Linked DNA regions of Mus musculus. The protein of the gene in region 2 purifies or fractionates together with the protein of the main gene of each other region. This does not show direct contact. Links are inferred from orthologs where the notes say so. Each region holds a gene or a part of one and is shown on either strand. Other genes may lie near its edges.

What was found. Proteins that work in one complex are often made in the same cells at the same time.
Region 1: the proteins of Tada2b (region 2) and Taf6l purify together in Homo sapiens (affinity purification with mass spectrometry; 3 studies listed by BioGRID and IntAct, counting the BioPlex papers as one, with this or other methods). This does not show direct contact. The link is inferred for Mus musculus from reciprocal best matches to the Homo sapiens genes TADA2B and TAF6L.

The regions. Positions count from the first base shown.
Region 1 is NC_000085.6:8,783,718-8,787,461, reverse strand, and holds the start of Taf6l (TAF6-like RNA polymerase II p300/CBP-associated factor-associated factor 65 kDa subunit 6L), read left to right. Parts: upstream 1-1,145; 5' UTR 1,146-1,252; intron 1,253-1,634; exon of another isoform or gene 1,635-1,829; intron 1,830-2,283; 5' UTR 2,284-2,332; coding exon 2,333-2,340; intron 2,341-3,467; coding exon 3,468-3,627; intron 3,628-3,744. UniProt on the Homo sapiens protein: Functions as a component of the PCAF complex. The PCAF complex is capable of efficiently acetylating histones in a nucleosomal context. The PCAF complex could be considered as the human version of the yeast SAGA complex.
Region 2 is NC_000071.6:36,481,946-36,485,689, reverse strand, and holds the start of Tada2b (transcriptional adapter 2-beta), read left to right. Parts: upstream 1-1,404; 5' UTR 1,405-1,632; coding exon 1,633-1,902; intron 1,903-2,600; exon of another isoform or gene 2,601-2,682; coding exon of another isoform or gene 2,683-2,712; intron 2,713-3,744. Other genes in the region: Ccdc96 (coiled-coil domain-containing protein 96), read right to left, coding at 1-1,038. UniProt on the Homo sapiens protein: Coactivates PAX5-dependent transcription together with either SMARCA4 or GCN5L2.

The DNA of each region.
Region 1 (3,744 bases), on a different chromosome or scaffold from region 2:
TCTTGGACTTCCATTCACAGCTCCTGCTGACCGTTGTTGGAGAGTTGGACAACAGACTGTGTACATCATCAACAAATTCCCTTACTATATAGAGACTACCCATTCGTTCTGTGACTCCAGATAACCTTGCCTTATACAACCAGTGTGTTTAAAAATAAAAAATAAATAGAGGATATAGCTCAGTGGCAGAACATTTGTCTATCAAATGCAAAGCTGTAGGTTGGATCACCTAAACCACAGTAAATAAATTTTACTTTCTTAGGGTTTCCTATATCCAAGGTTAGCCTTAATCTTGATATTTAGTCAAGGATAATACTGAACTTCTTATCCTCCCACTTTCAGCCCCCAAGTGCTGGCTAGTTCATGTCCTGCAAGTACTAGACAAGCATGTTACCAAGTGAACGGTATCCAGCTTTATGCAGGACTGGTGAAGTGGTGAAGACAAGTAAAAGAGCTTGTTGCTTAAGCCCAACAACCTGAGTTCCACTGTTGGTGCCTACAGGAGCATCAACTCCTCAAAGTTGCCCTCTCCCCCCCCCCACCCCCCGTATTTTTTGTGGGATTAAAGGCATGCTCCACCACTACCTGGCCCTCAAAAGTTGTTCTCTTATTTGCAAGTACAAGCACACATACAGAATTAAACTTTTTTTTTAAAAAAGATTTATTTATTTATTATATATAAGTACACTGTAGCTGTCCTCAGACATTCCAGAAGAGAGAGTCAGATCTCATTACGGATGGTTATGAGCCGCCATTTGGTTGCTGGGATTTGAACTCTTGACCTTCAGAAGAGCAGTGGGGTGCTCTTGCCCACTGAGCCATCTCACCAGCTCAAATTTTTTTTTTAAGATCAGAAACTAGAAAGCGGTATGGTAGCACACACCTTTGATCCCAGCATCCTGGAAGCAAAGGAAGGCCTATTAGTTCAAGACCAGCTTGTTTTATGCGGTGAACTCTAATTCAGTGTAAGCCAGGGAACACACACCTGTTAGCTAACCCAAAGGAGCTGTTGCTTTAAGAAGCGCCACTCACGTGACCAACGTCGCCCTAGTGGCTTTACCCGCACATACACACTGGCCAATCTTGAGGTGGTATGCCTCTTTGGTGGGCGGAAAACTCAGTAGACGGCCACCGATTGGCTCCGCATATGGAGGGCGGAGCCTGGGCGCGGAGAGAGGGAATTACCGTGAGCCGGTGAGTGGAAGCAGCCGTCCCTCCCCAGCAGGCGCCCTCCCAACCCCGGAGTCTGCAGGTGAGCAGGTCCTGCCCCGATCCAGGGATCGCTTCCCGCGGTGCTCTGCTCACCAGCCACGGAGCCCGCAGGACCCCGCCCCCTTCACCGAGCACGTGACACAAGTTCTGTAATCCCTGATCTCCCCACTCGACCCTGCACCCTTTGGAGCTGGGAGGGAGGAAGGTGGGTGGGAGGATTCACAACGTAGAAGTCCTTGGAGATCGGTTCCCACGCCTCCTGGTCAGGAGGACTTGGAACTGAGGGTGGGCAGGACGAGACTAAAGAGTGGGAGACCTTGGTCACAGACCGAATTTTGTGAGCTATCAAGACAGGGCTACATAATAGAGAAACTCCCTTCTAGCTTTCCACTTGCGCAGCACTGCATGGTTCCATTTTACAGATGGGGAAACTGAAGCGTACTCATCCAGTGCTGAGTCTAGTGATGGGACTTCAAATCTTTGGGCTACAAAGCCAGGCCTAGTTCAAACACAAGCCTACAGCTCATGAATATATTATCTTGAGTCGAATTACAACAGTGTTTGAGACCCAGCAGTCTAATCACCCGGTGCTTAGTGTTTGGTCTTGGACAGTTCAGGTAATCTCTCTGAGCTAAGACTTCCTCAGCTTTGTGAAATGGACAAATGTGTACAATTATATATCTCATACAATATTACTAACTGGGGGGGCCATGGGCATTTATGTGTTTAGAAAATAGCTGTGCTGGAAAGATGGCTGAGCAGTTGGCTAGTCTCCTTGGAGGACCCAGATTCAATTCTCAGTACCCACATAGCAGGTCACACCTGTCTGTAACTCCAGTTCCAAGGGACCTGGCACCCTCACACAGACATATACATGCAGGCAAAACACCAATGCACATAAAAGTGAATAAATCAGAAGTATTGACCCATGTCCTTAATAACAGCACCGGGATGGGTTGGTGGGCAGAGGCAGAAAGATCTCTGTGAATTGGAGGTCAGCAGGGTCTAGAGAGTGAGTTCTAGGACTGAATAGACAACATTGTCTGGAACAGCTATCCTTTTTTTTTTCAGCAAGTGTTAATGAGGGTATAGTATGTGCTGACCCTGCTGGAGGCCTGGGATGCAAAGGTGAGCGTACTGACCTGGTCTATTGTGCAACTTACAGTTACTGGGGAGCTGCATGCTGATGCCCAGCATCCCTGTACAGAGTGGAGTTGATGGTAACGAGCTGTGTTGGGTACTTACAGACTGTTCGAAGCTAAGGTGTCACATGTGTTAGGAAAACTCTGGTGCTGAGCTGCAGCTCCAGACTTTTTCTTTCTTTCAGGACAGGGTTTGTCTGTGTAGCCCAGGCTGTCCTGGAACTCACCCTGTAGACCAGGCTGGCCTTGAACTCAGAGATCCACCTGCCTCTGCCTCCCAAGTGCTGGGATTAAAGGTACATGCTACCACTGCCGGGCTCCAGCCTTTTTTTTTTACATTTTATTTTGAGATAGTCTAAGTTGTTAGGGTAACCTTGAACTCACTTCCTAGTTGACAAGGACAGTTATACAACCCAGGAAGGCCTCCCTGACAGTCAAACAGGGATCTAAGGAGGTAGTAGGTGATGGGTCACTGAGTCAAAGAGATTTGGAGAGAACAAAGAAGGGACAGTGTCAAACAAGAAACAGAATGGCCTGAAATAAGGAAATAGAGGTGGCCGTGGGTGGAAGTCTAGATCACAAGAGAAGAAGATAAGGTTTTGCAGACAGATGCTGGAAAGGCACAGGCATAGCCTGCCCATCATGGGCCAGTATCTTTGTTTAGTACAAAAGCAACAGGAATCACTGGGAGGATGGCTACGTGGGCTACGTAGATTGCCCACTTGTTCTGGAGATAAAGAATGAGGAACCCAGCCGGGCATGGTGGCGCAGGCCTTTAATCCCAGCTCTTGGGAGGCAGAGGCAGGCAGATTTCTGAGTTCAAGGCCAGCCTGGTCTACATAAGTGAGTTCCAGGACAGCAAGGGCTACACAGAGAAACCCTGTCTTGAAAAGCAAAACAAAAAAACAAAAACAAAAAAGGAATGAGGAACCCTTGCTGGAGTCCTGGGAGTGTCATCTTGGACTAGGGTCGTGCTGTGCTGAGCCTCTGGGCTCTGTCTTTGTGGCTTTTAAAGCAAGATGAGCAGGCATGGTTGAGATGGTCTTGCCTGCCTCACCCTTGGAGGAATCTCAGATACTGGGCGGGTTTTCAACCTTTCTTTTCCACTTGCAGTTCCACCGGGGCCATGTCAGAACGAGAGGAGAGGAGGTTTGTGGAGATCCCTCGGGAGTCGGTCCGGCTCATGGCAGAGAGCACAGGTCTAGAGCTGAGTGACGAGGTGGCCGCTCTGCTCGCTGAAGATGTGTGCTACCGTCTCCGAGAGGCCACACAGGTGTGCTGCTCTCCGTCCACCTCTCTCCTCCCTATGATCTCCTGTTACCTCTTCCCCACTGACATGCTTGGCAACAAGTGTATATCAGGTACCATGTGCTTTGAGGTCAGAAGACAG
Region 2 (3,744 bases):
TTGGCACTGCTGCTTCAGCTCCCGTACCTCCTGACGGTACCACTCTAAGTCGTCTGCCTCTTGTTTCTTCAGTTCCTCCAGCATGGCCAGATAGCGCAAGTATGCTTGCTCTTTCTCGGGAGATTCGGGTTCAGCGCTCTTGTCCCCAGGTTCCGCCGCTGCTTCCAGCCCCTTCTTGCGTAGGGTCTCGTGAATCTTCTGCTGTAGGTACATGTTGTAGCGCTGATAACGGTTCCGCTCCACTAGCAGGGAGTGGTACTGTTCCACCAGCTCGCCGCGCAGTTGCTGCTCTTGCAGCTTCTGCATGTCCGCTGTCCACTCAAACTCTTCAGTGGACGCCCCTTTTTGTTTCTCCTCTTCCTTGGCCTCTCCAGGGTGAAGTTGCTCTTCTGTGCTTTTGTGTCGTTCTCGATCTGTCCCCTCGATCTCTTCACTGTCTCTCTTCTTCAGTGACTCCCTTGCTTTCTCTTTCGCAGCTTGTGGGCCTGGGGCAGCCCCCTCCTCAACAATTGTGGTCAGCGGTAGAGATGGCCGGAACCGTGACTCCTTCCTCTTCTCCCTCTTCCCCTTGCCCTTCGGCTTCTCTGGCCTGTCCCGTTCCTCTCCCTCATCCTCATCCTCATCCTCATCCTCGTCCTCGTCCTCGTCCTCATCCTCGTCCTCATCCTCGTCTTCGTCTTTGTCCTCTGGTTCCTTGGACTCCGGCTTGGTCTTGGGCTGGGTCTGTGGCAGACTCTCTGGCTCTCGGGACACGGCCTCGCCCGCGGTCTCAGCGGCCCCCGGACTTTCCGGGACCTCAACATGCGCGTAATCGATCCCCTCCGAATCCTTCGCTTTTGAGCTGTCCGACACCGGCTGGGTCTCGCTCTCAGGCTCCCGCCCTTGCGTCGGCTCCGGCTCTGGCTTCGGCTCTGGCTCCTGCTCTACAGGGTTGGCCGGAGTCAGAGGTTCGGAGCTAACCTTGATCTCGAGCGACTGCCTGGCCAGGCCTTCCTCGGCTCGGTCTTTGCCCTCGATGTCCCCGTAGTGGCTGTCCATTTTCGACCCGCCGGCCCCGCTCTGAGGCCGGCTGATGCCTGCTGTTAGGTTTCCCGGGGCAACCAGGGCGCGCGGTGGGCCCCGCGATTGGTCACCCGCCTTCCATTTCTCTCCACCTCCCGGCAATATTAGGCCAATGAAGATCTGCGAACAGGTGAAGGGAGGCGCTAATTGGACGCTGGTTCCCGAGAGGCGTGGCCCGCACGGCCTACTTCCGGTCCGCGCCCCGCCGGCTGACAGGCTTAGGGCGGGGCCTCGCGGCTCCTCCAGTCCATGAGGCCGCGGGAGGCGCCGGCGCGCAGGCGCAGAGCAAAGACTCGGCTGTCCGCGAGAGGGCGCGCGGGGGGCGCCTGCGCGATGCGGCGGGGAGACAGCGGCTGCGGCGGCGGCGGCCGGGCCGGGCCGGAGGGCGCCTGCGTGCTGAGGCGGGACGCGGCCCGCCTGGCCGGCTCCGGCGGCGCCTGGGCGGGGGCGGCCGTGGCAGCGGCCGGCAGCGGCACGGGCGCGGCGGGCGCAGCGAGCCCGGCAGGCGGCGGGGCGCTGACGGCCGGGGGCGCGGCGGCTGCGGGCCGGGCGGCGGGCGAGCGGGGGAAGATGGCGGAGCTGGGTAAGAAGTACTGCGTGTACTGCTTGGCCGAGGTGAGCCCGCTGCGCTTCCGCTGCACAGAGTGCCAGGACATCGAGCTGTGCCCCGAGTGCTTCTCGGCCGGCGCGGAGATCGGCCACCACCGCCGCTACCACGGCTACCAGCTGGTAGACGGCGGACGATTCACACTCTGGGGTCCTGAGGCGGAGGGCGGCTGGACCAGCCGCGAGGAGCAGCTGCTGCTGGACGCCATCGAGCAGTTCGGCTTCGGCAACTGGGTGAGCGGCGGGCTACGGCTAGAAGGGAGGGCATGGCTGGCTGGCTCGGTGTACGTTGCGGAGGGCCGCAGGTGGTCGGATGGTTGTGTCCGGAACGTGTTGGTCACCAGCGGTCACACAGCTGGTAGAGCAGGGCCTTGACCCATTGCCCCGACACGGAGCTGTCTGCCCTTCACACTCGTCCTCAAGAGGTGTGCATTGAACGCGGGTAGAGGGTAGGCCCTGTGCGTTGCCAGGCTTATCCTTGAGTCAGATGGCAGCAAGCTAGATCCCACTGTCCTTTGCTGAGTTCCCCTAGTACGGTTGTGTTCTCCTGGGCATAGTGGTGGGGAAGGCCAGAAGCCTGGGGCTGCCCGTCCCGCCTGCACTTAGTCTGCATTCAGGGCTTCGTGTGCTTTCTGTGGGTGTCAGCATGTGCCCTGTGCTAAGGTTCTCAATGAGTAGCAGTATCTTGTTTAAGTCTTAGTCTCCACAGCACCCAGGACATGGTGTGATGGGTGGACAGTAAAGAATGAACAAAGGCGTGTTCCTGAAGAGGCATGGATCCTGGGGTCTGCTTTCTAGCTGTCAGGTTTCTGTAGAGGTAGCTCACTGGTAGTAAGAGCCTTCATGTGTGCCAGCCAGATAGTGTGCTGGGCTCCTGGTTGTTCTCTGGCTGTCTCTAAGGAGCTCTCCTTTCTATTCCTCACCTATGTTAGGGATGAGATCTGGCTGCATTGTCACCATTGCCTCCAAGAATATGTCACATCTTCAAGCTTTCAGAGAAGCAGGGAGCTCGGCATGACCCTCTCCTGTCCAGACTCTTCCCTGGTATGTTAGGGCCCTCTGACCCTAGCTTCCCCGAGCTTCCCCTACTCCAACCCTACTGCCCTCCTGTTTCAGATCGTCGTAGAATGAGTGACCTTCTGGACCCACTTCCCCACTTAGGAAGGAGTCTACTCCACAGATGTCTTACCAGTGAGCAACACTGGCTCCTGCTCTCTAAAAACAATGGGTTACTTTGTCTCTAAGTGGTGTTTATTGGTGTGTATTGCGCATATGCTTTGTACAGATCAGGCAACATGAAGGACCTTGAAGAAGAGCCTCAGTGCTGAAAGTGTGGCATTCATATGCTCTGTTTCTGGAGCTTGTCGCATACCTGGTGATCCCTCTCTACCTGATTGCCTGTGAAGACTCACTTGTCCTCAGTTATACACAGAGCCAACCTAAAGCCATCAACCACATCCAATTGGTCAGTGGTCATGTATTGAAAAGATGTGCATAATGTAGCTACTGACCTACTCTTCTGGCCTGACCCATGATGGTGCTTACCTCTCGTGATCACTTCTCATGGTTTTACCGTTCTCTTCCTTCTGTTCTGTAACCCTTCTCACACATGAACATAGGGCATTTGGAGCATAAGCCGCATCTTGTTGGCCCTCAGCAACTTCAGTTCTGCTTCTTAGATTACACTCCAGTGCCTGCAGGGCCTGACAATGTCTATGGCTCTCTGTGAGCTCACGCGGAGTCCATTGATCATTTCCTTTCTTCTGCCTGAGGTGTTCTCACCTCAGTCAAGACTACTGACTGATCTCTGGCCTGCGTGTCACTGCTTCTGAGAGCCTTTCTTTCCTCACACCAGTCCTCTAGCACTTATTTCCAGAGGAGACACTGAAAAGAGTGAGAGTGTTAGTCTCAGCACTGCGCTTGCTTTAGCTCTTGAAATCTGGGCTGTATTTAGGGAACCCTGCAGAAGAATATAAGAGCCAGAGGTCAGGAGGACACCAGGAGAACAAGGCCCTCTAAATGAGCTGAGCAAAGCTCCGATGAACTCAGATGAACAGAGGCTGAAGCAGCAAGCAC